4 linked regions of the Saccharomyces cerevisiae S288C genome follow. The protein of the gene in region 3 binds, or shares a complex with, the protein of the main gene of each other region. Each region holds a gene or a part of one and is shown on either strand. Other genes may lie near its edges.

Region 1 (7,016 bases), on a different chromosome or scaffold from region 3:
CAACGTTTTATCTAGCTTTGATAGTGCATACGATCAATGGATTCTAAACGGAAGTAAAGTGGTTACTTTAACTGATTTAAGAGATGAGTTACGAGGTCTATAGTGAATATATAAACTGTAAATTAATACTTCATTTAAAAAATTGATCAACTCAAATCCGAATATTAGCACCATGATCTTCGTTTGTTTTTTAAGTAAAAAGATTGAACTTTAAATCTAAATTATTATTACATGAATGTACAGACAGGAAAAATAAAAAACAAAAACAGAAGAATCACAAGTTCCCTAATATAAAAGAATACAAAACATTATTTCATGACACTGTTCCTAGAGCTTGTATTAAAAGCGGTAGAAGAGAGGAGATAATAGAGAAATTTCAATGTAACTATTGGTCAACAAAGCATCCGGGCATATAGCATAGATATTACTCGCTCTTTTTTGAGTTACATGCCACAATCCTCAACTTATCCACCGAAATTACACTTTGGCTATCTCCAGACCCGTTCTGGGAGGCGTCGCGGTGGCTGTCCTCAACAGTAACCTGACAATTTTTTACGATAAAAGTCCAAACATCATCGCAAAATCCATATGTGTCCAGGTTTCCTTTCACAGTCAATTTAGATTGGGTATTGTCTTTTAAAGTCTCAGCCACCACTTTGTCAAATGTCTCTAAAACACGCATAGCTAACGACGCTTCTATTCTCCCATCACTAATTAAAGTATCAAGAGCATCCACCAAACTATTCCCTATAGTACTTCTACGATATAATTCGTAATACCCGGGTACTGCCATTTATCCTTACTGTTATCTTCGATAGCCTGTGTCCCCCTCCTAACCTCTAAGTGCATCTTCTACTTATTCCTTATTCGGTCGAATATTTCACAAAGTATTCTAAGGCGTTAAGAAAATATTGTTATTAGTAAAATTAGCTTACCCGGCAATACAACAATAATGAAGCTAACATTATGTTGTATTGACAATTCAGTTCATGTTTGACATTTGCCTAGCAGAAGACATTATCTGCCATGCAACCTGAAAATTCATAGAACTTTTGGAACTTATTTATCTATCTTTCTTCAATTTCTTTGGTTAACACTTTTTTTTTATGTTTTTTTACGTTTTGAGATCATAAATATTTGGAAATATAAATAATCACAAATTCATAACAACTCTTTTTTTAGATAAAGTAAAAACACAGTTATGTATGTAAAGTATTTTAAAACATAAAAAAGGATGATCGACTTGATATATTCATTATCATGTAGTGTATAAGCGGTAAATATAACTACCTTAATCCATTGCTGGTGCAATAACCTTCCTTATGCCATTATATTATGTCACAACATTGTAATTCAGGCGGGTAACTTTACTGAAAGTTAATACAATGATGATGAATATCAAGCATATTGTTAATAACCAAGTTTATGGCCAACATAAAATAAGCAAGAACAATCAAGAGGGTACTGAAATTTCGGTAGCTCTCATCATATCGGCAGAGACTGGAATAGTGTAACATGAGTAGCACGATATTTTACCGCTTTAAGTCTCAACGAAACACATCAAGAATTTTATTTGATGGTACCGGCCTGACAGTATTTGATTTGAAAAGGGAAATTATTCAAGAGAACAAACTAGGTGACGGCACAGATTTCCAATTAAAAATTTACAACCCAGATACAGAAGAGGAATACGACGATGATGCCTTTGTTATACCTAGATCTACTAGTGTCATAGTAAAAAGATCTCCAGCAATTAAATCATTCTCCGTACACAGTCGACTTAAAGGGAATGTGGGAGCAGCAGCTCTTGGGAACGCAACAAGGTATGTTACTGGTAGGCCAAGAGTGTTGCAAAAGAGACAACACACTGCTACAACCACTGCTAATGTTAGTGGTACAACGGAAGAAGAAAGAATTGCTAGTATGTTTGCCACACAAGAAAATCAATGGGAACAAACGCAAGAAGAAATGTCTGCAGCCACACCTGTTTTTTTCAAGTCACAGACGAATAAGAATTCTGCACAAGAAAACGAAGGCCCACCGCCACCAGGTTATATGTGCTATCGTTGTGGGGGTAGAGACCACTGGATTAAAAATTGTCCAACTAACAGCGATCCAAATTTTGAAGGAAAAAGAATCAGAAGAACCACAGGTATTCCAAAGAAGTTTTTAAAATCCATTGAAATAGATCCCGAGACAATGACACCGGAAGAGATGGCTCAGCGAAAGATTATGATTACGGACGAAGGCAAGTTCGTGGTACAAGTTGAAGACAAACAATCATGGGAAGACTACCAAAGGAAAAGAGAGAACCGTCAAATTGATGGTGATGAAACCATTTGGAGAAAAGGCCATTTCAAAGATCTTCCTGACGATTTAAAATGTCCCTTGACAGGTGGTCTTTTGAGGCAGCCGGTAAAGACAAGCAAGTGCTGTAACATAGATTTCTCAAAAGAGGCGCTGGAAAATGCACTGGTAGAGAGCGACTTTGTATGCCCCAATTGCGAAACCCGCGATATCCTTCTCGATTCTTTAGTACCCGACCAGGACAAGGAAAAGGAGGTCGAAACGTTTTTGAAGAAACAAGAGGAACTACACGGAAGCTCTAAAGATGGCAACCAGCCAGAAACTAAGAAAATGAAGTTGATGGATCCAACTGGCACCGCTGGCTTGAACAACAATACCAGCCTTCCAACTTCTGTAAATAACGGCGGTACGCCAGTGCCACCAGTACCGTTACCTTTCGGTATACCTCCTTTCCCCATGTTTCCAATGCCCTTCATGCCTCCAACGGCTACTATCACAAATCCTCATCAAGCTGACGCAAGCCCTAAGAAATGAATAACAATACTGACAGTACTAAATAATTGCCTACTTGGCTTCACATACGTTGCATACGTCGATATAGATAATAATGATAATGACAGCAGGATTATCGTAATACGTAATAGTTGAAAATCTCAAAAATGTGTGGGTCATTACGTAAATAATGATAGGAATGGGATTCTTCTATTTTTCCTTTTTCCATTCTAGCAGCCGTCGGGAAAACGTGGCATCCTCTCTTTCGGGCTCAATTGGAGTCACGCTGCCGTGAGCATCCTCTCTTTCCATATCTAACAACTGAGCACGTAACCAATGGAAAAGCATGAGCTTAGCGTTGCTCCAAAAAAGTATTGGATGGTTAATACCATTTGTCTGTTCTCTTCTGACTTTGACTCCTCAAAAAAAAAAAATCTACAATCAACAGATCGCTTCAATTACGCCCTCACAAAAACTTTTTTCCTTCTTCTTCGCCCACGTTAAATTTTATCCCTCATGTTGTCTAACGGATTTCTGCACTTGATTTATTATAAAAAGACAAAGACATAATACTTCTCTATCAATTTCAGTTATTGTTCTTCCTTGCGTTATTCTTCTGTTCTTCTTTTTCTTTTGTCATATATAACCATAACCAAGTAATACATATTCAAAATGGGTGTTGAACAAATCTTAAAGAGAAAGACCGGTGTCATCGTTGGTGAAGATGTCCACAACTTATTCACTTACGCTAAGGAACACAAGTTCGCTATTCCAGCTATTAACGTCACCTCTTCTTCTACTGCCGTCGCTGCTTTAGAAGCTGCTAGAGACAGCAAGTCCCCAATCATTTTGCAAACCTCTAACGGTGGTGCTGCTTACTTCGCTGGTAAGGGTATCTCTAACGAAGGTCAAAATGCTTCCATCAAGGGTGCTATTGCCGCTGCCCACTACATCAGATCCATTGCTCCAGCTTACGGTATCCCAGTTGTCTTACACTCTGACCACTGTGCCAAGAAGTTGTTGCCATGGTTCGATGGTATGTTGGAAGCTGATGAAGCTTACTTCAAGGAACACGGTGAACCATTATTCTCCTCCCACATGTTGGATTTGTCTGAAGAAACCGATGAAGAAAACATCTCTACTTGTGTCAAGTACTTCAAGAGAATGGCCGCTATGGACCAATGGTTAGAAATGGAAATCGGTATTACCGGTGGTGAAGAAGATGGTGTTAACAACGAAAACGCTGACAAGGAAGACTTGTACACCAAGCCAGAACAAGTTTACAACGTCTACAAGGCTTTGCACCCAATCTCTCCAAACTTCTCCATTGCTGCTGCTTTCGGTAACTGTCACGGTTTGTACGCTGGTGACATCGCTTTGAGACCAGAAATCTTGGCTGAACACCAAAAGTACACCAGAGAACAAGTTGGTTGCAAGGAAGAAAAGCCATTGTTCTTGGTCTTCCACGGTGGTTCCGGTTCTACTGTCCAAGAATTCCACACTGGTATTGACAACGGTGTTGTCAAGGTCAACTTGGACACTGACTGTCAATACGCTTACTTGACTGGTATCAGAGACTACGTCTTGAACAAGAAGGACTACATAATGTCCCCAGTCGGTAACCCAGAAGGTCCAGAAAAGCCAAACAAGAAGTTCTTCGACCCAAGAGTCTGGGTTAGAGAAGGTGAAAAGACCATGGGTGCTAAGATCACCAAGTCTTTGGAAACTTTCCGTACCACTAACACTTTATAAGTTAATTCAAATTAATTGATATAGTTTTTTAATGAGTATTGAATCTGTTTAGAAATAATGGAATATTATTTTTATTTATTTATTTATATTATTGGTCGGCTCTTTTCTTCTGAAGGTCAATGACAAAATGATATGAAGGAAATAATGATTTCTAAAATTTTACAACGTAAGATATTTTTACAAAAGCCTAGCTCATCTTTTGTCATGCACTATTTTACTCACGCTTGAAATTAACGGCCAGTCCACTGCGGAGTCATTTCAAAGTCATCCTAATCGATCTATCGTTTTTGATAGCTCATTTTGGAGTTCGCGATTGTCTTCTGTTATTCACAACTGTTTTAATTTTTATTTCATTCTGGAACTCTTCGAGTTCTTTGTAAAGTCTTTCATAGTAGCTTACTTTATCCTCCAACATATTTAACTTCATGTCAATTTCGGCTCTTAAATTTTCCACATCATCAAGTTCAACATCATCTTTTAACTTGAATTTATTCTCTAGCTCTTCCAACCAAGCCTCATTGCTCCTTGATTTACTGGTGAAAAGTGATACACTTTGCGCGCAATCCAGGTCAAAACTTTCCTGCAAAGAATTCACCAATTTCTCGACATCATAGTACAATTTGTTTTGTTCTCCCATCACAATTTAATATACCTGATGGATTCTTATGAAGCGCTGGGTAATGGACGTGTCACTCTACTTCGCCTTTTTCCCTACTCCTTTTAGTACGGAAGACAATGCTAATAAATAAGAGGGTAATAATAATATTATTAATCGGCAAAAAAGATTAAACGCCAAGCGTTTAATTATCAGAAAGCAAACGTCGTACCAATCCTTGAATGCTTCCCAATTGTATATTAAGAGTCATCACAGCAACATATTCTTGTTATTAAATTAATTATTATTGATTTTTGATATTGTATAAAAAAACCAAATATGTATAAAAAAAGTGAATAAAAAATACCAAGTATGGAGAAATATATTAGAAGTCTATACGTTAAAACCAGAACGTGCACAATTTTTTTAATCTGCCAAATGGAAAAAACGGAAATATACGGAAAAGAAGTTGAAGTAATAGTTAGAAAGGCAAAAAAGGAAAGAAACAATTTAAAATATCTTAAGATTATATTAGAAACAAACACCAATGTTCATTTCATTCCTTAGAATATATCCGAATGAAATGACCAACCTACTTGTTTTGTAAACTGAGGAAGAAAGAATATTATTTCTCCGAAAACTTGTCATACCGTAGCTTGTCTTGCTTTTATTTGCTTTTGACCTTATTTTTTTCAAAAATCACCGTGCTTTTTGTGAGTTTTTAGATGTTGTGATAAATTGTCACTTCTACTGAATTTTTTCTCACAGAACATACAAGCAAAAGGGCGTTCCGTTGAATGAACGGATCTTATATGCCTTTTCAAGTGCTCACTGCGTCTGAATGCCTTCTCACAGTCTTTACACTTGAAAGGTTTATTTTTATCGTAGTTGTTGGGGTCAATGGTAGTAATAGATTTCCTTTTCCGAGGTTGGACAGGAACCTTACCATTGTTGTTGTTATGAGAAATAGTTGGACTTAAAGTAACACTTGACGACTTTCTTCTTCTTGTGTTTGGGCTTACCGTTGCCTGTTTAGTAGGTTGTTGTTGATGATGTTGAGCTGCATGGTGAGCTTGACTAGTAGGAAGTATTTTGAACGAAGAGTTCATCGAGATATCATAGCTTCTTCTTTGGAAAGCTGGTGTAGGTGTGATATTATCAACACCAGAAGTCGCCAATTTAGCGGCAGCAGAGGCATTATCCGACAACATCATAGAGGGTTTGATAAACTGTTGATCCTGAGCCGGAGATGACTTGAGAATGTTGAAGGGGTCTACGTTATTGTCGAATGCCGACATTGTGGTTGCATCTAAGCTATTGTAATTTAGCGCACCAAAAGCATCGTCTTCATTTTCTTCTGAAAGAAATGATGCGGAATCAGACAGAGGATTTGCCATCACCGAATCATTTGCAAAAGATTCAATATCATGAATTAAGGGCAAAGAGGCACGCTGTTGCCTTGTGGTGCTACTGCTATGGGAGATGCGATTTAAAGAAGAGGAAATGCTTTTTGGCTTTGTTATACCAGAGTCCTTAGAAAAATCCATACTATAACCGCTCAGAGCTTGAGAAACGTCATGATCTAATAATTTGAAGTTTGGATTAGAGTTGTTTATAGTGGTAGTAGGTGAAATGGTTGATCCACGCCTCTCAGTAGTGGCAGTACCTTCAGGGATAATTTGTTGAGTGGGTTTACTGTTGCTACTATTTTTGTGATTGAGATTCCAAAACTCTATCGAATGAGAGATCGAATTTCTAGAATCCGTCATAGAAGGAAAGGAAGAGGTAACCACCTCGCTGTATCTTCTTGCGTCGCGACCAGCGTCCGGCATGAACTTCAATGCTTCTTCTGAAGATACAAAATCCTCTA
Region 2 (6,399 bases), on a different chromosome or scaffold from region 3:
GTCTACAACGAAGTCTGTGAGTAAGTCCTGGTCAATCCAATGAAAGTCGTAATCTCCCAGTAATCTGTAACACCGTAGATAATATGAATTGTCTACTCCGCCCATTCTTATATTGGAGACCACTATGTCATTAGTATTTATGACAAAATCTTCTTCTTTGAATCCAAATTCTAACTCTTCGCTAGCAGGAGATGGCAGATTATCATTATTGCCTTCGAATGTTTTGGTACCATTTATTGAAAGACATTTTATATCTTCTGTCAACTGCGGACTAGGGCTTGGTAAAAGATTGTTGTCAGCTCGGGAATTGTGACGTTGGCCAACATAATTAAACCCTTGATCAACCTCAGAACTTGCTGAGGATTCGTATAAAGGTTCACTATTATTCTCTGTTTCTATTTCGTAGTCTAGTTCATCATTGTCCGAGTCGCTAGTATGCATACCATGTAATACGTTGGAAATGTAACCAGCAAATGGATGATATGTCTTATTACCCTTATTTGGAACGTCAACACTAATTTCCTTGCTTTCGTTACCTTCGGAAACGCTAAGTTCAACCTTTCCAATTGTTAAGATAGGATCGAACTCTATCGCAACTTCTCTTGGCCTTGCGATTTCCTCGATACATACTCTTTTTATTTTGGTTAGATCCGGCGATTGCTGAGCCTCTTCATCTACAAAAAACAGGTCACCATCTTCAACTTTGCTTTCATTCGAAGACAGCGAGTGGTCCGTCGAGGGTGAATTCTGACTATCATCATCCTCGTTTTCACTGTCTTCATTGTTAATATATTCAACATCAGAAGTCATCTTTCCTGGTTCTTCAAAAACGTCTGCTTCCCTTTCGACAATTTCTTCACTGTTCTTTGTTTCGTTCTTTGCTCTCAGTTTTTGAATCATATTGTGGGATGGATCGTAAACTTCCTTAGCTTTTACAAATTGCATAGGTCTTTTGCGGAATGCTGCCCTTCCTGCTTGTAGGTCAGTTGAAGAATCATATCGATTACCTGGTCTTAAACCACCCATTTTCATAGAACGGCTCTTGGCATCGCGACCAAAATAATAGTCTTCTATAGTTTTTGGTGATATGAATGCTCTTCCTGGGTTGAAGTCGGCGCCTACATCATCAAGATCACCTTCTCCTAGTGGTATAGAAGAGTTATGCCAACTGTTAGTGGGAGTAGGTTTTTTCTTTATCTTTCTGCCTTGTATGCCTTTAGCATTCCCCCTGCCAGCTTTCTTGGAATTGCTACCACGTGCATGCCTACGTCTGCTTCCTTGATAATGACTATGCCTTTTTGCCATTTTTTTTGACGGTTACAACAATTTATGCTTATATTTGACTCTGCGATTAAATCACTTCTTCCTTCTAGAAACTCTGCGCAGGCCTAATTGTTGTTGTTTTGTTCAGATCTTATTTAATTGTAAAATGTCAAATTTCACTTTTATTCTTTAGGCGGTGACCGTTGCAGCTGCCAACAATAGCGCCTCAAAGGAAAAAAGTAAAAATATACACACAATAACGTTAGTAGATGAAGAATGGACGACTTCTTATCACGTATAGGAGTGATATACATGCAGAGGTGGCTACAACTGTGGAAAATGGATTTGGTACAAAAAGTGTCTCATGGCGTTTTTGAAGGCTCGTCCGAAGAACCGGCTGCTCTTATGAATCATGATTATATAGTATTAGGGGAAGTATATCCTGAGCGAGACGAAGAATCTGGCGCTGAACAATGTGAACAAGACTGTCGATATCGCGGTGAAGCGGTTAGTGACGGGTTTTTAAGCTCTCTTTTTGGTAGGGAAATTTCTTCTTACACAAAGGAATTTCTTTTGGATGTACAATCAAGGGTCAACTTTACATATCGGACAAGATTTGTTCCTATAGCAAGGGCGCCAGATGGGCCTTCACCTTTAAGTCTAAATTTATTAGTACGTACAAATCCGATCAGTACAATAGAGGACTATATAGCAAATCCTGATTGCTTTAACACTGATATTGGGTGGGGGTGTATGATAAGGACAGGACAAAGTTTGTTGGGGAATGCCTTACAAATCCTTCATTTGGGCAGAGATTTCAGGGTAAATGGTAACGAAAGTCTGGAAAGAGAATCAAAATTTGTAAATTGGTTTAATGACACGCCTGAGGCTCCATTTTCGTTACATAACTTTGTTTCTGCAGGTACAGAACTCTCTGATAAAAGACCAGGTGAATGGTTTGGTCCCGCAGCTACGGCAAGGAGTATACAATCTTTAATATATGGCTTCCCCGAATGTGGCATCGATGATTGTATAGTATCTGTTTCATCCGGCGATATCTATGAAAATGAAGTTGAAAAAGTATTTGCTGAGAATCCAAATAGTAGAATATTGTTCTTGTTGGGCGTGAAGCTCGGGATTAATGCGGTAAATGAGAGCTATAGAGAAAGTATATGTGGTATCTTAAGTTCAACACAGTCAGTAGGCATTGCCGGCGGTAGGCCGTCTTCATCGTTGTATTTTTTTGGTTATCAAGGAAATGAATTTTTACATTTCGATCCTCATATTCCTCAACCGGCAGTAGAAGATTCATTTGTAGAGTCGTGCCATACCAGTAAATTTGGTAAATTGCAACTATCGGAAATGGATCCCTCGATGCTCATTGGTATTTTGATTAAGGGCGAAAAAGACTGGCAACAATGGAAGCTAGAAGTTGCAGAATCTGCTATTATCAATGTTCTTGCTAAGAGAATGGATGACTTTGATGTGAGTTGTAGTATGGATGACGTGGAAAGTGTAAGTTCTAACTCAATGAAGAAAGATGCAAGCAATAATGAAAATCTCGGAGTACTAGAGGGAGACTACGTAGATATTGGTGCAATATTCCCACACACAACAAATACAGAAGATGTAGACGAATATGATTGTTTTCAAGATATTCATTGCAAGAAACAGAAGATTGTTGTTATGGGAAACACACACACTGTTAATGCGAATTTAACAGATTATGAAGTAGAAGGCGTCCTTGTAGAGAAGGAAACGGTAGGTATTCACAGTCCTATTGATGAAAAATGCTAGTGTAAGGAATTCACTAGTTCATAAGCATATATACTTGTTTTAATATATTCCCTAAAACTGAGGTATCCAGTTCTTTTGTTCTTATTCGTTTGATCATCCTTTACGTATTTTTCGTCTGCGGCAGTGGAAAGAACTTAAAAAACGAAAGATAATAAAGAAAAAGGCCAGTCGGCACGAATTAAAGACCACCTGTAAGAAGATTAAGACAACGGTGGTATAAACTAGTGTCGAAGTCCAAAATGCCTAGTCATCGCAATTCAAACTTGAAGTTTTGCACAGTTTGTGCATCAAACAACAATCGTTCAATGGAATCGCATAAAGTCCTGCAAGAAGCAGGCTATAATGTTAGCTCTTACGGAACAGGTTCAGCTGTGAGACTGCCTGGTCTATCGATAGATAAGCCTAATGTGTACTCATTTGGTACACCCTATAATGATATATATAATGATCTTTTATCACAATCAGCAGACCGTTACAAGTCGAACGGTTTATTGCAAATGCTGGATCGTAATAGAAGACTCAAAAAAGCACCTGAAAAATGGCAAGAAAGTACAAAAGTCTTCGACTTCGTTTTCACTTGTGAAGAGAGATGTTTTGATGCCGTTTGTGAAGATTTGATGAATAGAGGTGGGAAATTAAACAAAATAGTGCATGTAATTAATGTTGACATTAAAGATGATGATGAAAATGCTAAAATTGGTAGCAAAGCTATATTGGAATTAGCTGATATGCTCAATGATAAAATAGAACAATGTGAAAAAGATGACATTCCCTTTGAAGATTGTATAATGGACATTTTAACTGAGTGGCAAAGCTCACATTCTCAACTACCGTCATTATACGCTCCTTCATATTACTAAACAAAACGGTCAATTACTGTAGAAAAGCATAAGCATTAAGCGGCCCTCATGAATCCTACATTATCCGTGAAATTTCAATACTTTCACAAGTCTTCGATAGCTTCCTAGTTATATTCATTATATAATATTACGTTTCTTGTTGCGGCTCTCTTAAGCACATTATTTGCTTGTTGTCCACATAGCTATTTTTTTATCAAGAAGCTTGATATACAACACACTGTATTTTTAGTAAGCTGGACAATGTCTTGTCTCAATGTAGCGTATAACAGGTTTCATTCCAAAACACATCACCAGATATAGGACTGAAATGAAGAAAATAGAAGCATGAAACTTTAAAAGTTTCAGTACTTTAAGAAAGAAATAAATAGAAAAATGTTCCATTTATTTCTGAAAATAAATCAAAAATTATAAGATCCACCCGTTCCTACCAAGACCTTCCAAAATTTTTCCCATAACGGGAACGAGCAAAGTTGAGACTGCTCAAAAGAGCACATCTTCAAACTACAATCCCGACCAAATAATCTCAACAGCCATACCTTCATCATAAACTTAAGTTCATTCGAATCTGCCGTCAAAAACTAAAATGGCACGCTAGAGAAAAGTAGTCAAAAAGAATGCCTCTACAAAGCTCTCTTTTGAAAGGCCCCAGCTCCCCTAACACCAATTTGAATTTGGTGTCAAACTTCTCCAGGCAGAAGAAACAAAGGGCCCCAAAAATCAGTTTAACCCAAAAATCCCCAAAGGAATCAAGGGATTAACCAATGATTGAAACAAGGGAATGGAAACGTCAGCAAACACGCCTTCCGCGCCGTATGTGTGTGTGACCAAGGAGTTTGCATCAATGACTTCAATGAACAATTATAGTTCAATGATAAATGCTTAACGTCCTTCTACTATTGGAAGCGCATGTTTGATCAGTAGGACTTCTTGATCTCCTCTGATATCTTAAGGTAAGTATGAGGATTTTAAAAAAATTCAAGAAAAAACTATATTTTAACGCTAAAAGTATGTTTGTAAAATAGTTCTATTAAATGGAACTTCTTCTCTCTATTTATACGTCTTGCCAATGGAAAACTCGTCGCCTTAGAAAAAAAAAAGGTGCAAAGACGGGTAATAATTTCATTGACATTTTCAAGAGCTAGGGAATGAATCAATGAGCCCTATGATGGCAGCGTAGATCACCGTATTTAAATTAACATATAATAAGATTTGTTGCCACTTTCAATCTCTAAATGTGTACGTATAGAGTTCCAGGAAGCAAAAAGACCATTATTGCGCGATATGATTGCTATTTGCCCTCTGTATACATAGCTTTATAGGATATCGGTCGTACATATAATTCAGTTCAGTTCATTATACGGATATTTTCGACCACTCCCCCAACCTATAAGTGTTGGTACCTACATTTCTGATCAGTACATACCTAGTTGGTTGCCGGATGGCCGCATGATGATCTATAAATCCGATTCCCATACCATTTCCACAATTTAAGTGGTAGGTGCCGCTGGTAATAAAACCAATCAAATCATGTACCTCTGGAAGTGGAATTTTCAAATCATGATCTTTTCTTCCGTTTGGGCGGTAAACCCCTTTTGCCAATTGTAGCCAATGCTCTAAGTCCTTTTCTGGAACTTGATATATTCTTGCATTGTCCTTTGGGTGACCTCGTTCGAGTAGTGTGCAAGATACAGCAATGATACAACGTGGGAAGAATGTAAGGGAGAATGAAGAACTATTGACGCTAATGCTATCAGGAGTGCGAAATTGACATTTCCGATTTTTACACAATGCAACTGGTATGTTCTCTTCAATCGACAACGACATAGCCTTGGTCTTGGCTTCATAATCTTTGCAAAACTCCAAAACATCATTTACACAGTTGATGTCTCTTACACCCTGAGCGTTAAATTGCCCGGTCTTCTTACTGTCCATCAGTTCTAAGGTTTTATCATTCCGCTGTAAATAATCAATTCCATTTCTCAGTATTTGTAAAAATCTCCAGTCTGAACTGAAAAAATCGCCGATTTCTCCGCTATATGCCGGTAATTTAGTGTTATGGATGTCTTTGATCTTCTCGAAATTAATCCTTTTTCCCATTGGCTTCCTATCCCACTTCGTCTTGGAGGCCTCCTTTTTATAAAATGAGTTTTCTATATAACCCAATTGAGTGAATGGATAATCATCCGGAAAATATAATTGCTTATTCTCGTACTGAATTTGCTGGAATTGCCTGAGGCCAATGTGATACATCCTTGGTATCCGGTTCAGTAGATGCCATAACGGTAGCAGCCAGAACCATGGTAACACAACAATCCAATCCCTGGTCTTGAGCCTTCTTATTATGACTAATGGAATAGAAGGATCGTCACTTTCTTTGAACGGGACTGTAGTTTTATTGATGCTGTTCGGTGTGGCAGTTAGCAATTTGTAACGTCTCGCAGAAATTTCTTTTAATGTGTTTTGGTTGTTGTATGATTGA
Region 3 (9,972 bases):
CCAAAAAAAGATCTCTCAAAGAGCTTTACCAAGAAACTAATAGCTTAGACTCAGAACTAAAAGAGTACAGGACTGCCGTATTAAACAAGTGGTCTACCAAAGTTTCTTCTGCATCAGGTAACGCTGCTTTATCATCTAACAAATTCAAAGCTATCAACTTACCTGCAGATGTACAAGTCGAAAACCAATTATCCGATATGTCCCGTTTGATGAAAAGAACAAAGTTGAACAGGAGAAACATAACGCCTTTGTATTTCCAAAAAGACTGTGCTAATGGCAGGCTACCAGAATTGATTTCTCCCGTTGTCAAAGATAGTGTTGATGACAATGAGAATTCGGATGATGGGCTTGATATCCCGAAAAACTATGACCCAAGAAGAAAGGATAACAATGCCATTGACATTACCGAAAACCCATATGTTTTTGATGACGAAGATTTTTACCGTGTTTTACTAAACGATTTAATTGACAAAAAGATTTCCAACGCTCACAATTCTGAAAGTGCAGCAATTACAATCACCTCAACTAATGCTCGTTCGAACAACAAGCTAAAGAAGAATATCGATACTAAGGCTTCCAAGGGTAGGAAATTGAACTACTCAGTTCAAGATCCAATTGCGAATTATGAAGCCCCCATCACATCCGGATACAAATGGTCAGACGACCAAATCGATGAATTCTTTGCGGGATTGTTAGGTCAACGAGTGAACTTTAATGAAAATGAGGATGAGGAACAACATGCCAGAATAGAAAATGACGAAGAATTAGAGGCTGTTAAAAACGATGATATCCAAATCTTTGGTTGAATATACATTTATTTTAAATACGCACAACTCATTTAATTTAGGGCTTATAAGTAGATAGAAGGATTTTAACGGATCACAAAAAGTAGCTGTTAACAACTACCTTTTTTTTGAGTTAAGAACACTAATGTGGATTAGGAAGAAACAGCTGCTCTGCACAATTCTTCAAAAAAACAAAACATGCTTAATGTGTCATTATTTAACCTGGAAATATAAAGGTAGTGTTTTATATAAGAAATATCATTAAGGGAATCCTCTATAACTTTTTAGTTCGTTTCAACGAGGTGGGAATGCCAAATTTTCTCTATGAGCGACATATTCGCTGTCATTATAGCCCAATTCCTCTTCGATTTGGTCACTGTGCAAACCTTTAATTTTAGTTAATTCAGAACTCGTGTAATTGCATCTTGCCTTGCCTACTGTTTGCAAGGGAAAATCTGGATCTAACGTGCCATCTGGTAACTTTTTACCAACTTTTATGTCAACACATTCTAACTCATGGAAAGTGCCCTGAACATCAATAACACCTGCTGGCAATAATCCCGCCTTATTTTTCCTTGTTAAGGCTGCGTACGCACCTTGGTCTATAACAACAGCGCCTTTAGAGACAAGACCGTGTAAAATCCAAAACTCTCTATTCTTTAGATGGTGTTTATTATCATTAGCAATGAACTTCGTATGTAGTGGAACGTTAAGAGCCTTTAATTTCTCAAATTCTCTTTTTTGCAAATCCGTTAAATCGCCATTATATGCTTGTTTAACTTTATTTTCATCGTCAAGTTCTAGAGTTTGCATATACTCGACAATTCTACCTATATTCGCAGGTGTATCGCTTTTCATGATCAACGTATGAACACCGGCATTCGTTGCCAAATCTGCAGCAACCAATTTAGTTTCCATACCACCGGTCCCAACGTCAGAACCTGAACCACCAGCAGTATTCACACCGGGCAAACCCTTTGAGAGATCTGGGACAACTAAGATCGGCATGGCATCTGGGTTTGTCCTTGGATTATCAGTATACAAACAGTCAACATCTGTCAGTAAGAAAAGATAATCTGCATGGATTAAAGCAGAAGTAATTGCTGATAAAGTGTCATTGTCACCAAATTTGATTTCTCTAACAGATAGTGTGTCGTTTTCATTCACAATGGGAATAACGCCCATGTTCAACAATTCATTAATTGTGTTTTGAGCGTTCTTATATTGGGTCCAGTCCAGAATATCATTTCTGGTCAATAGAATTTGAGCGATACGTTGATCAAATTGCGAAAACAGAAGATCCCATCTCCCGATCAATCTACCCTGCCCAATAGCTGCGATGGCCTGAACTTCTGCTAAATGTTTTGGTCTTTTATTCATACGCATAGTCCTCAAACCAACAGCAATACCACCACTGGACACGATGATAACTTTGTGTCCCATTCTTCTCAATTTGACTACAGTTTCGACAATAAGCGACATGATAGCTAACTTAGGTTCTTTGGTTTTTTCATCTACTAGCGATGAAGAGCCTAATTTGATCACTATAGTATACGATTTACTCTCATTAGCATCCTTCATTTTCGCGTTCTTATGACTATATTACAGTAGCTGATAAAATGACCTAAACTATGCCTATCTTTGAAGCAACTAGACATTAATCTTGAAAGACCGTTTTGATGGATGAATAATTCATCGAGAAAGCATTAGTTCGCTGATGTAATTTTTCATTTCCTGCCATCATGCGATGTGTGGGTGCTATTTATTTTCAATTCCTTTACCAAGGTACCTGATAGTGTCATAAATAAATAAATTTAGACCAAAATGTAACCATTGATAAGTGAGAGTCTTAAATTTAACATGTTCATACTTTAACTGGTGCTCAACCGATATATTATGATTCACTGTGCCACTGACCAGCCCTATTAGTGACATTTTGTGCTTCCTCATCCCGTCGGCTCCCAATAAGACAACGTAGTAAGTGATCTTAATATAAGGTAAGTTCGAGGTGACATATTTCACAGAGCAGCGTTAAAGCAATCATATGTAAATTGAGGAAGATCACCGTCCCTTGAACACTTCACTGATTAAAACTATCAGGTACTAACCTAGATTCGCTTTTTACTCTAGCTACTGGCCCTATGAATGTATATGATGATGTGCTTGACGCTACTGTTGTGTCTCATTCATTAGCAACACATTTTACTACTTCAGATTATGAGGAGCTCTTAGTGGTGCGAACAAATATCCTTTCTGTCTACAGGCCTACTAGGGATGGTAAACTGTATTTGACTGATGAGTTTAAGTTTCATGGCTTGATCACCGATATAGGCCTCATTCCCCAAAAAGACAGTCCGTTAAGTTGCCTGCTTTTATGCACAGGCGTCGCTAAAATCTCTATTTTAAAGTTCAACACGCTAACAAACTCAATCGATACCCTAAGCCTGCATTACTACGAAGGAAAGTTCAAGGGTAAATCGTTGGTAGAGCTGGCCAAAATTTCCACCTTGAGAATGGATCCTGGAAGTTCTTGTGCCTTACTGTTCAATAATGACATTATCGCTTTTCTACCCTTCCATGTCAATAAAAATGACGACGATGAGGAGGAAGAAGATGAGGACGAGAACATAGACGATAGTGAATTAATCCATAGCATGAATCAAAAATCCCAAGGGACGAATACTTTCAATAAGAGGAAGAGAACCAAGTTAGGTGACAAGTTCACGGCTCCAAGCGTGGTATTGGTAGCGAGTGAGTTGTACGAAGGCGCCAAAAATATCATAGATATTCAGTTCTTGAAAAATTTTACTAAACCAACGATAGCGCTCTTATACCAACCAAAGCTTGTTTGGGCAGGAAACACCACCATTTCAAAACTCCCTACACAATACGTTATACTCACATTAAATATCCAGCCTGCAGAAAGTGCCACCAAGATTGAATCAACCACAATAGCATTTGTCAAGGAACTGCCTTGGGATCTACACACCATTGTACCTGTTTCGAATGGTGCTATCATTGTGGGAACCAATGAACTGGCATTTCTAGATAATACTGGCGTTTTACAATCGACAGTATTATTAAACTCATTTGCTGATAAAGAGTTACAGAAAACAAAAATTATCAACAATTCTTCATTGGAAATTATGTTCAGGGAGAAAAACACTACGTCAATTTGGATACCTTCGTCCAAGAGCAAAAACGGAGGAAGTAATAATGACGAAACACTACTACTTATGGACTTGAAATCCAATATATACTATATCCAAATGGAAGCAGAGGGCAGGTTACTGATTAAATTCGATATTTTCAAGCTACCTATAGTCAATGATCTTTTGAAGGAGAACTCCAATCCAAAATGTATAACACGTTTGAATGCCACCAATTCAAACAAAAATATGGACTTATTTATTGGGTTTGGTTCAGGAAATGCTTTGGTTCTCAGATTGAATAATTTGAAATCTACCATTGAAACAAGAGAAGCACACAATCCATCTTCAGGTACAAATAGTTTGATGGATATCAATGACGACGATGATGAGGAAATGGACGATTTATACGCCGATGAAGCTCCTGAAAATGGACTAACAACTAATGATTCCAAAGGCACTGTGGAAACTGTTCAACCTTTCGATATCGAACTGTTATCATCTCTAAGGAATGTTGGTCCCATCACATCGTTAACTGTAGGTAAGGTATCTTCCATTGATGATGTGGTAAAAGGACTACCAAATCCAAACAAAAACGAGTATTCGCTAGTTGCCACATCGGGAAATGGTTCAGGTTCTCATTTGACCGTCATACAGACTAGTGTTCAACCGGAAATTGAATTAGCATTGAAATTTATCAGTATAACACAAATCTGGAATCTGAAGATCAAAGGAAGAGATAGGTACTTAATAACTACTGATTCCACAAAATCCCGGAGTGACATATATGAAAGTGACAATAACTTCAAACTTCATAAGGGCGGCCGTTTAAGAAGAGATGCTACTACAGTTTACATTTCAATGTTTGGTGAAGAAAAAAGAATAATACAAGTCACCACCAATCACTTATATTTATATGATACACATTTTAGACGTCTCACCACAATTAAATTTGACTACGAAGTTATTCATGTTTCCGTCATGGATCCGTATATACTAGTTACCGTATCAAGGGGTGATATTAAGATATTTGAATTGGAGGAAAAGAATAAAAGAAAATTGTTAAAAGTTGATTTGCCAGAAATTTTGAATGAAATGGTTATTACATCTGGTTTGATTTTGAAAAGCAATATGTGTAATGAATTTTTGATTGGGTTGAGTAAGTCTCAAGAAGAACAGTTATTGTTTACATTTGTTACTGCAGATAACCAAATTATCTTTTTTACTAAAGACCATAATGACAGAATCTTTCAACTAAATGGTGTTGACCAATTAAATGAATCTTTATACATTAGCACTTATCAACTGGGCGATGAGATCGTCCCTGATCCATCGATTAAACAAGTAATGATAAACAAACTGGGCCATGACAATAAAGAAGAATACCTGACAATATTAACCTTCGGAGGAGAGATTTACCAATATAGAAAATTACCACAAAGACGTAGTAGATTTTATAGAAACGTTACAAGAAATGATCTAGCTATTACTGGTGCTCCTGACAATGCATACGCCAAGGGTGTTAGTTCCATCGAAAGAATCATGCATTACTTTCCCGATTACAACGGTTATTCGGTAATATTTGTAACCGGTAGCGTTCCATACATATTAATAAAAGAAGATGATTCCACACCGAAGATTTTCAAATTCGGAAACATACCATTGGTTTCAGTCACTCCCTGGAGCGAGCGTTCAGTCATGTGTGTAGATGATATTAAAAACGCCAGAGTTTACACACTAACTACTGACAATATGTACTATGGTAACAAATTACCATTGAAACAGATAAAGATCAGCAATGTGCTTGATGACTACAAAACTCTGCAAAAACTAGTCTATCATGAAAGGGCTCAATTGTTTCTTGTATCTTATTGCAAGCGGGTTCCTTACGAAGCATTAGGAGAAGATGGCGAAAAAGTAATTGGTTATGACGAGAATGTTCCTCATGCGGAAGGATTTCAAAGTGGAATTTTACTCATTAATCCAAAAAGTTGGAAGGTCATTGATAAAATCGACTTTCCAAAGAATTCTGTCGTCAATGAAATGAGATCCTCTATGATTCAAATTAATTCAAAAACTAAGAGGAAAAGAGAATACATTATAGCCGGTGTTGCCAATGCCACCACTGAAGACACTCCACCAACTGGCGCTTTCCATATTTATGATGTGATAGAAGTTGTTCCCGAACCTGGTAAACCTGATACCAATTATAAGCTCAAGGAAATTTTTCAAGAAGAGGTCAGTGGTACTGTATCTACTGTTTGTGAGGTTAGTGGAAGATTCATGATTAGTCAAAGCCAAAAAGTTCTAGTAAGAGATATCCAAGAAGATAATTCCGTCATACCAGTGGCATTTTTGGATATTCCTGTTTTCGTTACGGATTCTAAAAGCTTTGGTAATCTTTTGATAATTGGTGACGCTATGCAGGGGTTCCAATTTATTGGTTTTGACGCAGAACCATACAGGATGATTTCATTGGGCAGAAGTATGTCGAAATTTCAAACAATGTCGCTAGAGTTTTTAGTGAACGGAGGGGATATGTATTTTGCGGCAACAGATGCTGACAGAAATGTTCATGTTTTAAAATATGCGCCAGATGAACCCAACTCTCTTTCGGGTCAACGTTTAGTCCACTGCTCCAGTTTCACGTTGCATTCCACCAATAGTTGTATGATGCTTTTACCAAGAAACGAGGAATTTGGCTCTCCTCAAGTGCCATCGTTTCAAAACGTTGGTGGCCAAGTGGATGGGTCAGTCTTCAAGATAGTTCCTTTAAGTGAGGAAAAATACAGAAGACTTTATGTGATTCAACAACAAATCATCGATCGAGAATTACAGCTAGGTGGTTTAAACCCTCGCATGGAAAGATTGGCCAACGACTTTTATCAGATGGGTCACTCTATGAGGCCTATGCTTGATTTCAACGTTATACGGAGGTTCTGTGGATTAGCTATTGATAGACGGAAAAGCATTGCGCAGAAAGCAGGAAGACATGCGCATTTTGAAGCATGGAGAGATATCATAAATATTGAATTTTCAATGAGATCTTTATGCCAGGGTAAGTGAACAATACATATAAAGGATATTTAATGCTAACTAGCCCGATATATACATCTATCTATCACTAGGCATTCGAGTAGTGAATAAGAACCACTACTTGAAACACTAGATTTGTAACAATAACGCATGTATCATCGTACATTTTCGGAACTATTTACGTAACGCGGGGATGAGGAAAAAGTTACTTTTTGCACAGCAAAAAAAACAAATAAAGAACAGTTAGTGAAATAAAGCAAAAGTGCAAACGGTGCCTTTAATCAAAGACTTTGCAGGAACATAAACAAGTGCACTAAAGAAGGTCCAATTTAAATATGCCAGCTAAAAAAAGGACTAGAAAGACAGTGAAAAAAACCGTATCATTCTCCGATGACACAACATTAACAACGCACCAAAATCGTGAGAAAAAGAACGTAGATCATGATCGTCCACCTGTGTATGTGAGGAAAACCCCTCTGATGACATTTCCATACCATTTAGTAGCACTACTTTATTACTACGTTTTTGTATCTTCAAATTTCAATACGGTGAAGTTGCTAAGTTTTTTGATTCCTACACAAGTTGCTTATTTAGTTTTACAATTCAATAAATGCACAGTTTACGGTAACAAAATCATTAAGATCAATTACTCATTGACCATTATTTGTCTAGGTGTTACATTTTTGTTGAGCTTTCCCACAATGTTATTAACTATATTATTTGGTGCGCCATTAATGGACTTATTGTGGGAAACCTGGCTGTTGTCACTGCATTTTGCATTTTTAGCATACCCTGCAGTTTATTCTGTATTTAATTGTGATTTCAAAGTGGGATTATGGAAGAAGTATTTTATCTTTATCGTTGTAGGGGGTTGGATTAGTTGTGTTGTCATTCCTTTGGATTGGGATAGAGATTGGCAGAATTGGCCAATTCCTATTGTTGTTGGAGGTTATTTGGGCGCTTTGGTGGGCTATACTATCGGTGCCTATATATAATATCGGTAATTTAAAAATTTGTATATAAAAAAATATAAGTATGATAGAGGTAACATAAACTGGTCCTATGCACAATTGAAAAATCTATGACAAAAACTAAATGATCTTTATACCAAACCCACCTATATGCTATTTGTACCATCTTAAAAGAAGGTAATAACTTCCATACAGATAAATAGCTAACAACATTAAATATCTCCCACTCTCCTCATTCTTTTCTTTTCATAATTTCCTTTTTCTGATTTATTCATTCTATATAAAAAAATAATACAAATCCTCAGATTAAATAATAAATACTATAAAAGTCTCAACTTCTTCTTTAATTTGTTTGAGTCGCTTTAGCTACGAATAGCCTCAAAAACTTCGTTGAAATTCTCCTTTGTTAAACCGAAAGTATCCGAATTTGCGTCGCTATCAACAGGAGCTGCTGCGCCTAAAACTCCATTAGAAACTGTGCTATTTTTCCTCTGTTCATAAAAATCCGTTTTTATCAGAGATTCTGAAATTTTACTCAACTCGTGATTTAATTTAATCAACTGCTCTGCAGATATGCCAGAAAATCCGTTATTAATGGAATAATTTGAATCGGCGCTAGTCGTTACCTTATTCTCCTCAAGATTTTTGATATACTTGGAGATTGTCTTAATTTTAATAATCAGATTTTCGATGAGTTTATTTTGCTTTTTACAATTCTTGGTATAATCACTTAACAACATTGCAATTTTGTTGATAATTAAATGAATAACATTTTTATTCTTTATTCTCTTACTATTGTCGTTATTACTATGAATATCTGTTTGCTCACTGATTTCATTAGCATCATTCGTCCTCTTTGAAGAATCAAAAGACCTTTGATAGAGCGCCAAAAGCATTAAAACTAAAGTTTGCAGAACCACAATAGATTTATTGATGAATGTGAATTCATGACCAGCAAATTTAATATTGGCTAAGTTCGAGAAAACAAAGAACAAGGTCTCCCTCGACAATTCCAAAAAGTCTTCCAAAATTTCGTTAAATTTAGCATAATTTTTCAATGTTTCAAATTGCAATAAGAGGTAAAAGTTCAAATATAACATTGAATTCCTGTAGATTAGAGAATCCATGATATTATTAATTATTGAAGGAGTCGTTAAACATCCTTGGCTGACCTCGATATTCTTATTTTTCAAAAGCTTGATTAACTGTATAATTTTATCAATGGATAGTTGTTGATCTTTACTTTGCAAATATTTCATCAAGTTTACTTCAAAATCAATCAATTCAAAATCGTTGTTCAACAAAGGATCAATAATTGGGGTAGAATTTGTGAAAGGTTCAGACATTAGCAACGGCAATTGACCTAAGAAAAGGTGTCTCCAGCAGTAGTTCTTAAATATGAAATTCCAGGTCAAAATATGAGATTGATTTTGAGTTTCATGATTTAACGATAGTAAACATGCCATATGCATATCTTCGTCGTAATCAATTACGAAAGAGGACGATGACGACGTGTCCATCACAAATTGGTAATATTTCCACAAAGAAATAAACCGCAGGGTCTCTATATTACACATTGACCTTTTTTCAATTTCAAATCTAAGCGTTGTTAAATTAGACTTCAACAAAGGCAAGTAGTTGAATAACACATTGAATAATTGCAAGTGTTCATCATCTCTAAGAGGAATCAAAACCGTAGAATTCAACGATTCAAAAAGAATCAGGAGACAGAGAGTAATAAATCCTAGATTTAGTAGCTGATCATTGGTCACACTAAAAACTTGAAAAATAGTTTCAAAATCTTTAGAATTTGGCTTATTAATGGTGTTAGAAGGAAAAAGCTGCTCAACTATGGGTAATAGTCTCTTTGGTTTTAATATTGGAAGTATTGAATTCGTTTCCGTTATCGTGGATAAGTATTTGTTGATAAGGGTCTGTGTTATCGATTGTGAAGGAAACTTTAATATTTGAGATATGCCACTGTTGCGCTCAATACTGTTACGGCTTGCTACCAAATCGTGCAAAGGTCCA
Region 4 (8,241 bases), on a different chromosome or scaffold from region 3:
TAGCAATAAGACATCTTTAGCAAAATCTCTCTTAGACGCATTACAAAACTATTGTATTCAATTGAAACTGGAAGAATTCTACCGTTCACAAGAATTGGAAACCATGTACAATACTATCTTTGCTCAGTCCTTTGACAGCGATTCATTGACTTGTGTTTACTCAAATGCTACTACTCCAAAGAGCGCTACGGTTTCATCTGCGGCCACAGACTATTTCTCGGATCACACTCATTTAAGAAGGTTGACCAAAGATAGCATTTCTCCACCATTTGCCTTCACTCCAACCTCATCTTCATCCTCTCCATCTCCATTCAATTCCCCTTACAAGACTTCAAGTTCAATGACGACCCCAGACTCTGCATCACACCATTCACATTCAGGTTCGTTCTCTTCTACCCAAAATTCTTTTAAAAGGTCACTGAGCATCCCACAAAATTCAAGCATCTTTTGGCCAAGCCCACTAACTCCCACCACCCCATCTCTAATGTCAAATAGAAAATTATTACAAAATTTATCTGTGCGTTCAAAAAGATTATTTCCTGTTAGACCCATGGCCACTGCTCACCCATGCTCTGCCCCCACCCAACTGAAAAAGAGATCAACTTCCTCTGTGGATTGTGATTTTAATGATAGTAGCAACCTCAAGAAAACTCGCTGAAACGACAAAAAAAAAATGCATTTAACAACAAATAAATTAAAATTTGCAAAGCAAATACGTTAACATACATTAATGATCTTTTTTTCTTTTTGTTTTCACAGGACTCATTATTTCTTTAAATATACTTATATTACATTTGCATAGAATTACAAAAAAAAAAAAATTATAAAAACGCACAACCTAAAATACGATTACTATCGTTTTTTCTCCTTACTTCCTCTAGTCACATTATACATTTTTTTTCATCCTTCACAGACGTATCTTAATACTAAGTGTGGATCAATATAATGGGTATAGCTTGAACATCTGCCCCTCTCTATCTAATGTTTTTTTCTTGAATTATTTAGTATTTGCTGTATACTAGTTTTATTTATCAATACAGACGAATGTTCAAGAATTTCTCATTGTTTTCCGCCAACATTTCTTTAGCAACATTCCAATCTTCATCGCTACCTAACACAACAAAATCCCCATCTTCGTCCTGATATTTGATCTTGGTGATTGGTGAAATGTTGTTATTATGTGTATTCGAAATTTTAGAATTGATCGCCATTATCAAGTCGTCAAAATTCCAAACTTTTTCTACCAAAAGTGTGAAGATCTCGCTACTAGAGGTATTATTAGAGTTGTTATTATATGATATCCTGAAGAGTATGGAAGATTCTGGAATAGAGTTCTTGAAATTTTCTGAAATGGATTTAATTTCACTTTCGAAACTTGATGAAGTGGTCCTCCGTTTAGGCAGGACATCCGAAACCCTTTTCATATGAGAACTTGAGAAAGAAGCCATACTATCGTGTGTCTGGCGGCTGTTGTGATGATTCGGTGTATTCATAGTTGTGGTGGGTGACATCATTGAAGATGATTTGGCTGTCGATGAAGTCGTCGATGTTGAAGAGTGATGTCTTGCCTTAAACTGCTCATTTTTCAGATCATGAATCAACTGTTGTAAACACGATGACCAATTATCTCTTGTTTCCTCATTTTTGAATTTCAAAAGGAAATTACCTTGCTCTTTTATGGATTCCCATGTTATATTTAATGACCGGTTGTTTTGCGGTATGATTTGATTCAGATTCATTATCATAATTCGACCTCTTAGATCCAGCTTAGGTTCGTTAGCGGACAGCTTGAATAATGAGGATGATGATGAATTGTTGGAATTGTTGTCACTACTATTGGTACTGGAATGTATTATCGCCGCTGCTGAAGACGAAGATAAATGGATATTATTACTGCTACTACTATTGCTATGCCTCTTATGGTAACTGTGGTGAGGGCTGCCATTGTTGTCCGTTATGTTCGAGGCGGAGATTGATGCTGAGGTTGAGGATTTCTTCTTAAGGATTAGTGATGATGCAGATTTCTTAGTCACTACCTCTGAAAAAAGGATGATGATTTTTTCAAAAAGATAAACCTCAAATTCTCTTTCAGGTTCCGAGGAGCTATTTGTTGTTGAAATGAACACTTTATCGAAATATAATAACTCACCGAACTTGGAAATTCTATAACCCTTCCAGTTGACCACTCTACCATAAAGTTTCTTCACCACTTGATGATTTTCTGTTCTTCTTTGATTTTCGTTGATACTTCTCGCAATATTTTTAGAAATATCTAAAGCAGCTTCAAGTTCTTTCGTATTATTATCGTCACTCGATTCAGCAAGCAATTCTTTGACCAACAGGGGATATCTACAAAGCCTTTGCACGGGTTTATAAAGGAAGGATTGCAATTCCAGTTTATTGTTAATTATGAACCGCTGCGATTCATCAACCCTCATCTTGTGCAAAGTTGAAGAGAGAAATTCGATGGCTGCATTTTGGCCAATAGACCAAGGCTCATACAACTTAAAAAAATGTTTGGAATGCATGAAAAGAGCCCCGATTCTTTGCTTGGAAGGTTCTACTAAAGCATTTATTTCCAAGGATATTAGAAATCTTCTTTGAAAATCTATAGCATCACCCAAATTAGGGAACAACATGTACAACTCTTCAGACGTTATTAGATTGCTGTCTAATAACTGCTGTCTATATTTATCCAAAATTTCCAAATCGTGAACATATTTTCTTTCCGTTGCAACGAATTCCTTGATAATTTTAACATACTCGTTATGCTTCTTCGAAGACTGCTGAGGCTGATGTCGGTGTTGGTTTTCTGCGTTCATGATTTGCTGTGTCTTACTCTTAGAGGGGAAAATAGTAGGGCTGGAATTCATTAGCGTTTCTACTACTTCTAGCACTTTGACCAGCTGGGAAGTAGAGTTGGCAAAAACGTCGGATATAGTGAAAAGCTCCTCATCGTTAAATGCAAAGTGTTTCTTGCAGCCCAATATAAAGTCATAAATGGATTTTTTACAGACTTTCAAATCGTCAGATGCTATTACCGGTAATTTAAATTGCGGCTTCACAGAGTTGAAAAGTATACAGAGGGGCGCACCTTGTTGAAACAGCTGTGATAGTTGTGTCACAGGGTCGCAATCCATGGTAATGGGCAAAATACCCATACTAAAAGTCAGTAAAGTGTCCTCCATATTTGGGGTGGCCGAGGGATTCGAATTCGTGTATGATATACCTTCCATCGACATGAGACTGGTAGCTGTGGAGATAGAGCTAGACCTTAAAGTTGGTGCCAAGTCGCTACTGTCCCGGTTAGCGCCATTGGACTTGAGCAGTTCCTGATGCTGCTTTTGGGATAGCAAAAGAGATTGCCTTTCACTCAAAACCTCGCTCGATTGGTAGGCCAATTGTAAAAAAGGTTTGAGTTGAGGTAACACCTCCAGTCTTTTCCGGATGTTTGCGCATATATGGAACAGTGAGTCCTGTTCCGTGACAGGCTTGTTCATGACATTTTGCATGGGTATGGAGATGGAAGTTGCACTTGGTTTTGGTTTCAAATCGGATAAAGATGTGCCCGAGGCAAAACGGGTTTGGATCGCCATGATCTCTCGGGTTGGATTAGCAGACAGGTCTTGATAGGGCTAGGCAACAAATGATAACAGCAATGGTACTCTTCTGCTATCCTACCATAGCCACATTCTTGTTCTGTTTCTACCTTAAAGCTTCTGTTTTCCACTTCTTCCCACCAGTGCGTCGTTCTTCGCGATTATCGTACAATATGATATTTGTACAAGTAGTGATATACCAATTTCTATACTATATATATATATTATGTAGTAGTATGTAGAAAGGGCTCTTCCCTATGACAGTCTCTTCCTCTACTGGCTCTTCTTGCCCCAGATCGATCTCTGTGCTTTGTAGAATAGCTTGTCCATGACAGTGCCCACAGCTAGGACACCACCAATGCTGGTGATACAATTCAAGATGAAGCCCGACCAAGTCTGCCCGTGCTGTTCCTTATTGATGACTTTCAATGGAGACATTTCGAAAAAGACGAACATACCAGGGATACCACCCCTAACGTGAAGTGTGTTTGGATGATCCTTGTCCCTTCCACCGGCAAGAGGTCGGGAATGAAAAGTGGCGCTGAACTGCGCGGTCTCAATGACAACATTATCCAAGTACTCATATCTGGTGGGGACAATCTTGGCAAAATACGAGAACTGGTGAAAGTGTGTGTTCCTGTCCGGGAACACCTGGCGTCCGTCCAAGGGAGAAGTGGCAACTACGGCGCCGCCGTGGCGCTTATCGTTTCCTAACAACTTACTGTGGGACTGGATCGGCTTCCCAAAGCTCAAATGATTGATGATGTGGTTGAAGTTCAAATTCGAAGTCTTGTCGTACAAAGAAGTATCATGAAAATGTCCATATGCATTCTGGTAGGGTTTTCCAGGGGCAAAGTGAAGATTCCCCTGAATTCTGTTAATTTGTGCAGAACCTTTGATCCTGCAGCCTTCATTCAAGTGCTCGTTAATCTTGCTGACATAGCCCTCTCTTTCACACTGCTCGATATTCTTCCCGTCGAAAAAAGCCCAGCCTGCCTCCAAGTATGCTGATCTCACTGCATCACAGTCTTGGCAGCAAACCTTCTCTTCCTGTGCTAGATTCTCATTCTGCGACTGATCTTTGGCACCGTAACATGGCCCACAATAGTTAGGATCGTTATTAACCGGCGCGGTTCCGTCGCCGTTCCCACCCACATGCAACTCAGTAGCATCTCCCACGGGGCGACCCTCGCTATTCAACCTAGACATCGTGAACCCTGCGTCAAGAATGTCTAGTTGCATCTCTCCAGAGTCGTCCATAATATCGAGATTCACCAGGTCACATGGCATCGATGGAAATGTCACATCCATATTAAGCTCCAGCTTTGCGTGTCGGTCACGGTCCACCACCAATTGTGGCCTTGTTACCACAGAATTGAACTGTCCCCACTCGTTCACCAGCAGAAATAACGTGGTCAAGATGCACGATAAAGTGATCAGCCCGCCGGCCCTGGTGCGGACTCGTACGTCCTCTTCGGTCTTAGCGAATGCGTCCAGCGACAGCAACGTGGACCTTTTCATGATGTCTATTGTGTCTAGCTATGTGTGTTATATCACTGTCCTACTCCGCATGTATACGAGACATAAAACTAGCTTTCCTTTATAATGGCGTGGTTTCCACTCCATCTTGATGGAAAATCGCCGTTCTGATGTTCAAGTCGTATATAGTGACTTGATCTAAAAGTGAAAAGTTGCCATATTTCGATACCTTTTAACCGTTAGTACTTGACTGAACAAATGGTTAAATCGTGGCAAGAAGCATATAACTACCACTAAGCAGCGCAATGTCATCTGCAGAGATGGAACAATTGTTACAGGCCAAGACACTGGCCATGCACAACAATCCAACGGAGATGCTGCCCAAGGTGCTCGAAACTACGGCATCCATGTACCACAACGGTAATCTCAGCAAGCTGAAGTTGCCTTTGGCCAAGTTTTTTACACAGTTAGTTCTAGACGTGGTGTCGATGGACTCTCCAATTGCGAATACTGAGAGACCGTTTATTGCTGCTCAATATCTGCCACTACTTCTTGCTATGGCGCAATCCACCGCGGACGTACTAGTGTACAAGAATATCGTGCTTATTATGTGCGCTTCATACCCGCTGGTGTTGGATCTGGTTGCTAAGACATCAAACCAGGAAATGTTTGATCAGTTGTGTATGCTGAAGAAGTTCGTGCTCTCGCACTGGAGAACTGCATATCCTTTGCGTGCCACCGTTGACGATGAAACGGATGTCGAACAATGGCTGGCGCAGATTGACCAAAATATCGGCGTGAAATTAGCGACCATCAAGTTCATATCTGAGGTCGTGCTGTCGCAAACTAAATCACCCAGCGGCAACGAGATTAATTCATCTACCATCCCGGATAACCACCCTGTGTTGAACAAACCGGCTTTGGAGAGCGAGGCTAAGAGGCTTCTTGATATGTTGCTAAACTACCTAATTGAGGAACAGTACATGGTCTCGTCCGTTTTCATTGGTATCATCAATTCTTTATCCTTCGTCATCAAAAGAAGGCCGCAGACAACAATAAGAATTCTTTCCGGGCTGTTGCGTTTCAACGTCGACGCCAAGTTTCCCCTAGAGGGCAAGTCTGACTTGAACTACAAACTATCCAAGAGATTTGTTGAAAGGGCGTACAAGAACTTTGTGCAATTTGGGCTAAAAAATCAAATCATTACAAAATCCCTCTCATCCGGATCAGGGTCATCGATCTACTCCAAGCTGACCAAGATTTCTCAAACTTTACACGTTATTGGCGAAGAGACCAAGAGCAAGGGAATTTTGAACTTCGACCCTTCCAAGGGCAATAGCAAGAAAACGTTGTCCAGGCAGGACAAACTAAAATACATCTCACTATGGAAAAGGCAATTATCCGCGTTATTGTCTACTCTAGGGGTGTCCACAAAGACCCCCACGCCTGTGTCCGCACCTGCAACGGGCTCTTCAACCGAAAACATGCTTGATCAACTGAAGATATTGCAAAAATACACCCTCAACAAGGCTTCACACCAGGGCAATACTTTTTTCAACAACTCACCCAAACCAATCAGCAACACCTACTCATCTGTGTACTCATTGATGAACAGTTCGAACTCCAACCAGGATGTGACCCAGCTACCCAATGACATACTTATCAAGCTGTCCACAGAGGCCATCTTGCAAATGGACAGCACGAAACTGATCACCGGATTGTCTATCGTTGCTTCGAGGTACACGGATTTAATGAATACGTACATCAATTCTGTACCGTCCTCGTCATCATCAAAGAGGAAATCCGACGATGATGACGACGGCAACGACAATGAAGAAGTTGGAAACGATGGCCCAACGGCTAATAGCAAGAAAATCAAAATGGAAACAGAACCACTAGCGGAGGAACCAGAGGAGCCCGAAGACGATGACCGAATGCAGAAGATGCTTCAAGAAGAGGAAAGCGCCCAAGAAATCTCAGGAGATGCCAACAAATCAACTTCTGCCATTAAGGAGATCGCACCCCCCTTTGAACCTGACTCATTGACGCAGGATGAAAAACTAAAGTACCTCTCAAAGCTGACCAAGAAACTGTTTGAATTATCCGGTCGCCAGGATACTACCCGGGCCAAATCTTCGTCTTCCTCCTCCATATTACTGGACGATGACGACTCCTCGTCATGGTTACACGTCTTAATCAGATTGGTTACGAGAGGAATCGAAGCACAAGAGGCCAGTGACCTGATTCGTGAAGAACTGCTTGGCTTCTTCATCCAGGATTTCGAGCAACGTGTCAGTCTGATCATTGAATGGCTCAATGAAGAATGGTTCTTCCAAACCTCGCTGCATCAAGATCCCTCTAACTACAAAAAATGGTCCTTAAGAGTTCTCGAGTCTCTGGGTCCATTCCTTGAAAACAAACACAGACGATTCTTCATCAGACTTATGAGCGAACTGCCCAGTCTTCAAAGCGATCATCTTGAGGCACTGAAGCCTATCTGCCTGGATCCGGCAAGAAGTTCCCTTGGTTTCCAAACGCTAAAGTTTCTCATTATGTTTAGACCCCCAGTGCAGGACACTGTTCGCGACCTGCTGCATCAGCTAAAGCAAGAAGATGAAGGCTTACACAAGCAGTGCGATTCACTGCTTGACAGGCTAAAATGATCACAACCATTACATACATCATATATACGCATGTGTAGGGTCTTCCTTCAACTTGCAAATCAATGTTTTATCTATCATTCTGTGCTATAGGGACCTCGCAATTTTGACACTTCCGTAAGGAGTCATTCAGCGGCGGAGTCACTTTCGCTAACTCTTTCTTCTATATATACAGACCAACAAACAAGTATCTAATGGGAAAGGGAATCTCCACATGAAGCATACCACATCGACAATGTTACGCACTACTAGACTATGGACCACCCGCATGCCCACTGTGAGCAAATTGTTTTTGAGAAACAGCTCCGGCAATGCCCTAAACAAGAATAAACTACCATTTTTGTACTCATCCCAAGGACCTCAAGCCGTGAGGTACACTTCCCAACATGAGTGGATAGCTGTGCATCAGGACAAGACTGCCTTTGTCGGAATTACAAAATACGCCACTGATGCCTTAGGGGACGCTACCTATGTTGAGTTGCCAGAAGTGGGCACTGAGATTG

The links.
Region 1: CFT1 (region 3) and MPE1 share a complex: the UniProt entries of both Saccharomyces cerevisiae proteins name them as parts of the cleavage and polyadenylation factor (CPF) complex.
Region 2: CFT1 (region 3) and SSU72 share a complex: the UniProt entries of both Saccharomyces cerevisiae proteins name them as parts of the cleavage and polyadenylation factor (CPF) complex.
Region 4: CFT1 (region 3) and PTA1 share a complex: the UniProt entries of both Saccharomyces cerevisiae proteins name them as parts of the cleavage and polyadenylation factor (CPF) complex.

The regions. Positions count from the first base shown.
Region 1 is NC_001143.9:323,943-330,958, reverse strand, and holds MPE1 (cleavage polyadenylation factor subunit MPE1), read left to right. Parts: upstream 1-1,515; coding exon 1,516-2,841; downstream 2,842-7,016. Other genes in the region: NUP120 (Nup120p), read left to right, coding at 1-103; TOA2 (transcription initiation factor IIA subunit gamma), read right to left, coding at 425-793; fructose-bisphosphate aldolase FBA1, read left to right, coding at 3,472-4,551; BLI1 (Bli1p), read right to left, coding at 4,847-5,188; stress-responsive transcriptional activator MSN4, read right to left, coding at 5,839-7,016. UniProt on the Saccharomyces cerevisiae protein: Component of the cleavage and polyadenylation factor (CPF) complex, which plays a key role in polyadenylation-dependent pre-mRNA 3'-end formation and cooperates with cleavage factors including the CFIA complex and NAB4/CFIB.
Region 2 is NC_001146.8:225,795-232,193, forward strand, and holds SSU72 (RNA polymerase II subunit A C-terminal domain phosphatase), read left to right. Parts: upstream 1-3,299; coding exon 3,300-3,920; downstream 3,921-6,399. Other genes in the region: SQS1 (Sqs1p), read right to left, coding at 1-1,305; cysteine protease ATG4, read left to right, coding at 1,576-3,060; ribonuclease P/MRP protein subunit POP1, read right to left, coding at 5,274-6,399. UniProt on the Saccharomyces cerevisiae protein: Component of the cleavage and polyadenylation factor (CPF) complex, which plays a key role in polyadenylation-dependent pre-mRNA 3'-end formation and cooperates with cleavage factors including the CFIA complex and NAB4/CFIB.
Region 3 is NC_001136.10:1,060,426-1,070,397, forward strand, and holds CFT1 (cleavage/polyadenylation factor CFT1), read left to right. Parts: upstream 1-2,926; coding exon 2,927-7,000; downstream 7,001-9,972. Other genes in the region: rRNA-processing protein BFR2, read left to right, coding at 1-806; PRO1 (glutamate 5-kinase), read right to left, coding at 1,080-2,366; mannose-ethanolamine phosphotransferase GPI11, read left to right, coding at 7,306-7,965; RSC3 (Rsc3p), read right to left, coding at 8,304-9,972. UniProt on the Saccharomyces cerevisiae protein: RNA-binding component of the cleavage and polyadenylation factor (CPF) complex, which plays a key role in polyadenylation-dependent pre-mRNA 3'-end formation and cooperates with cleavage factors including the CFIA complex and NAB4/CFIB.
Region 4 is NC_001133.9:58,195-66,435, reverse strand, and holds PTA1 (RNA-processing protein PTA1), read left to right. Parts: upstream 1-5,383; coding exon 5,384-7,741; downstream 7,742-8,241. Other genes in the region: cyclin CLN3, read left to right, coding at 1-658; Rho family guanine nucleotide exchange factor CDC24, read right to left, coding at 1,032-3,596; retrograde cargo receptor ERV46, read right to left, coding at 3,873-5,120; GCV3 (glycine decarboxylase subunit H), read left to right, coding at 7,974-8,241. UniProt on the Saccharomyces cerevisiae protein: Essential in pre-tRNA processing. Component of the cleavage and polyadenylation factor (CPF) complex, which plays a key role in polyadenylation-dependent pre-mRNA 3'-end formation and cooperates with cleavage factors including the CFIA complex and NAB4/CFIB.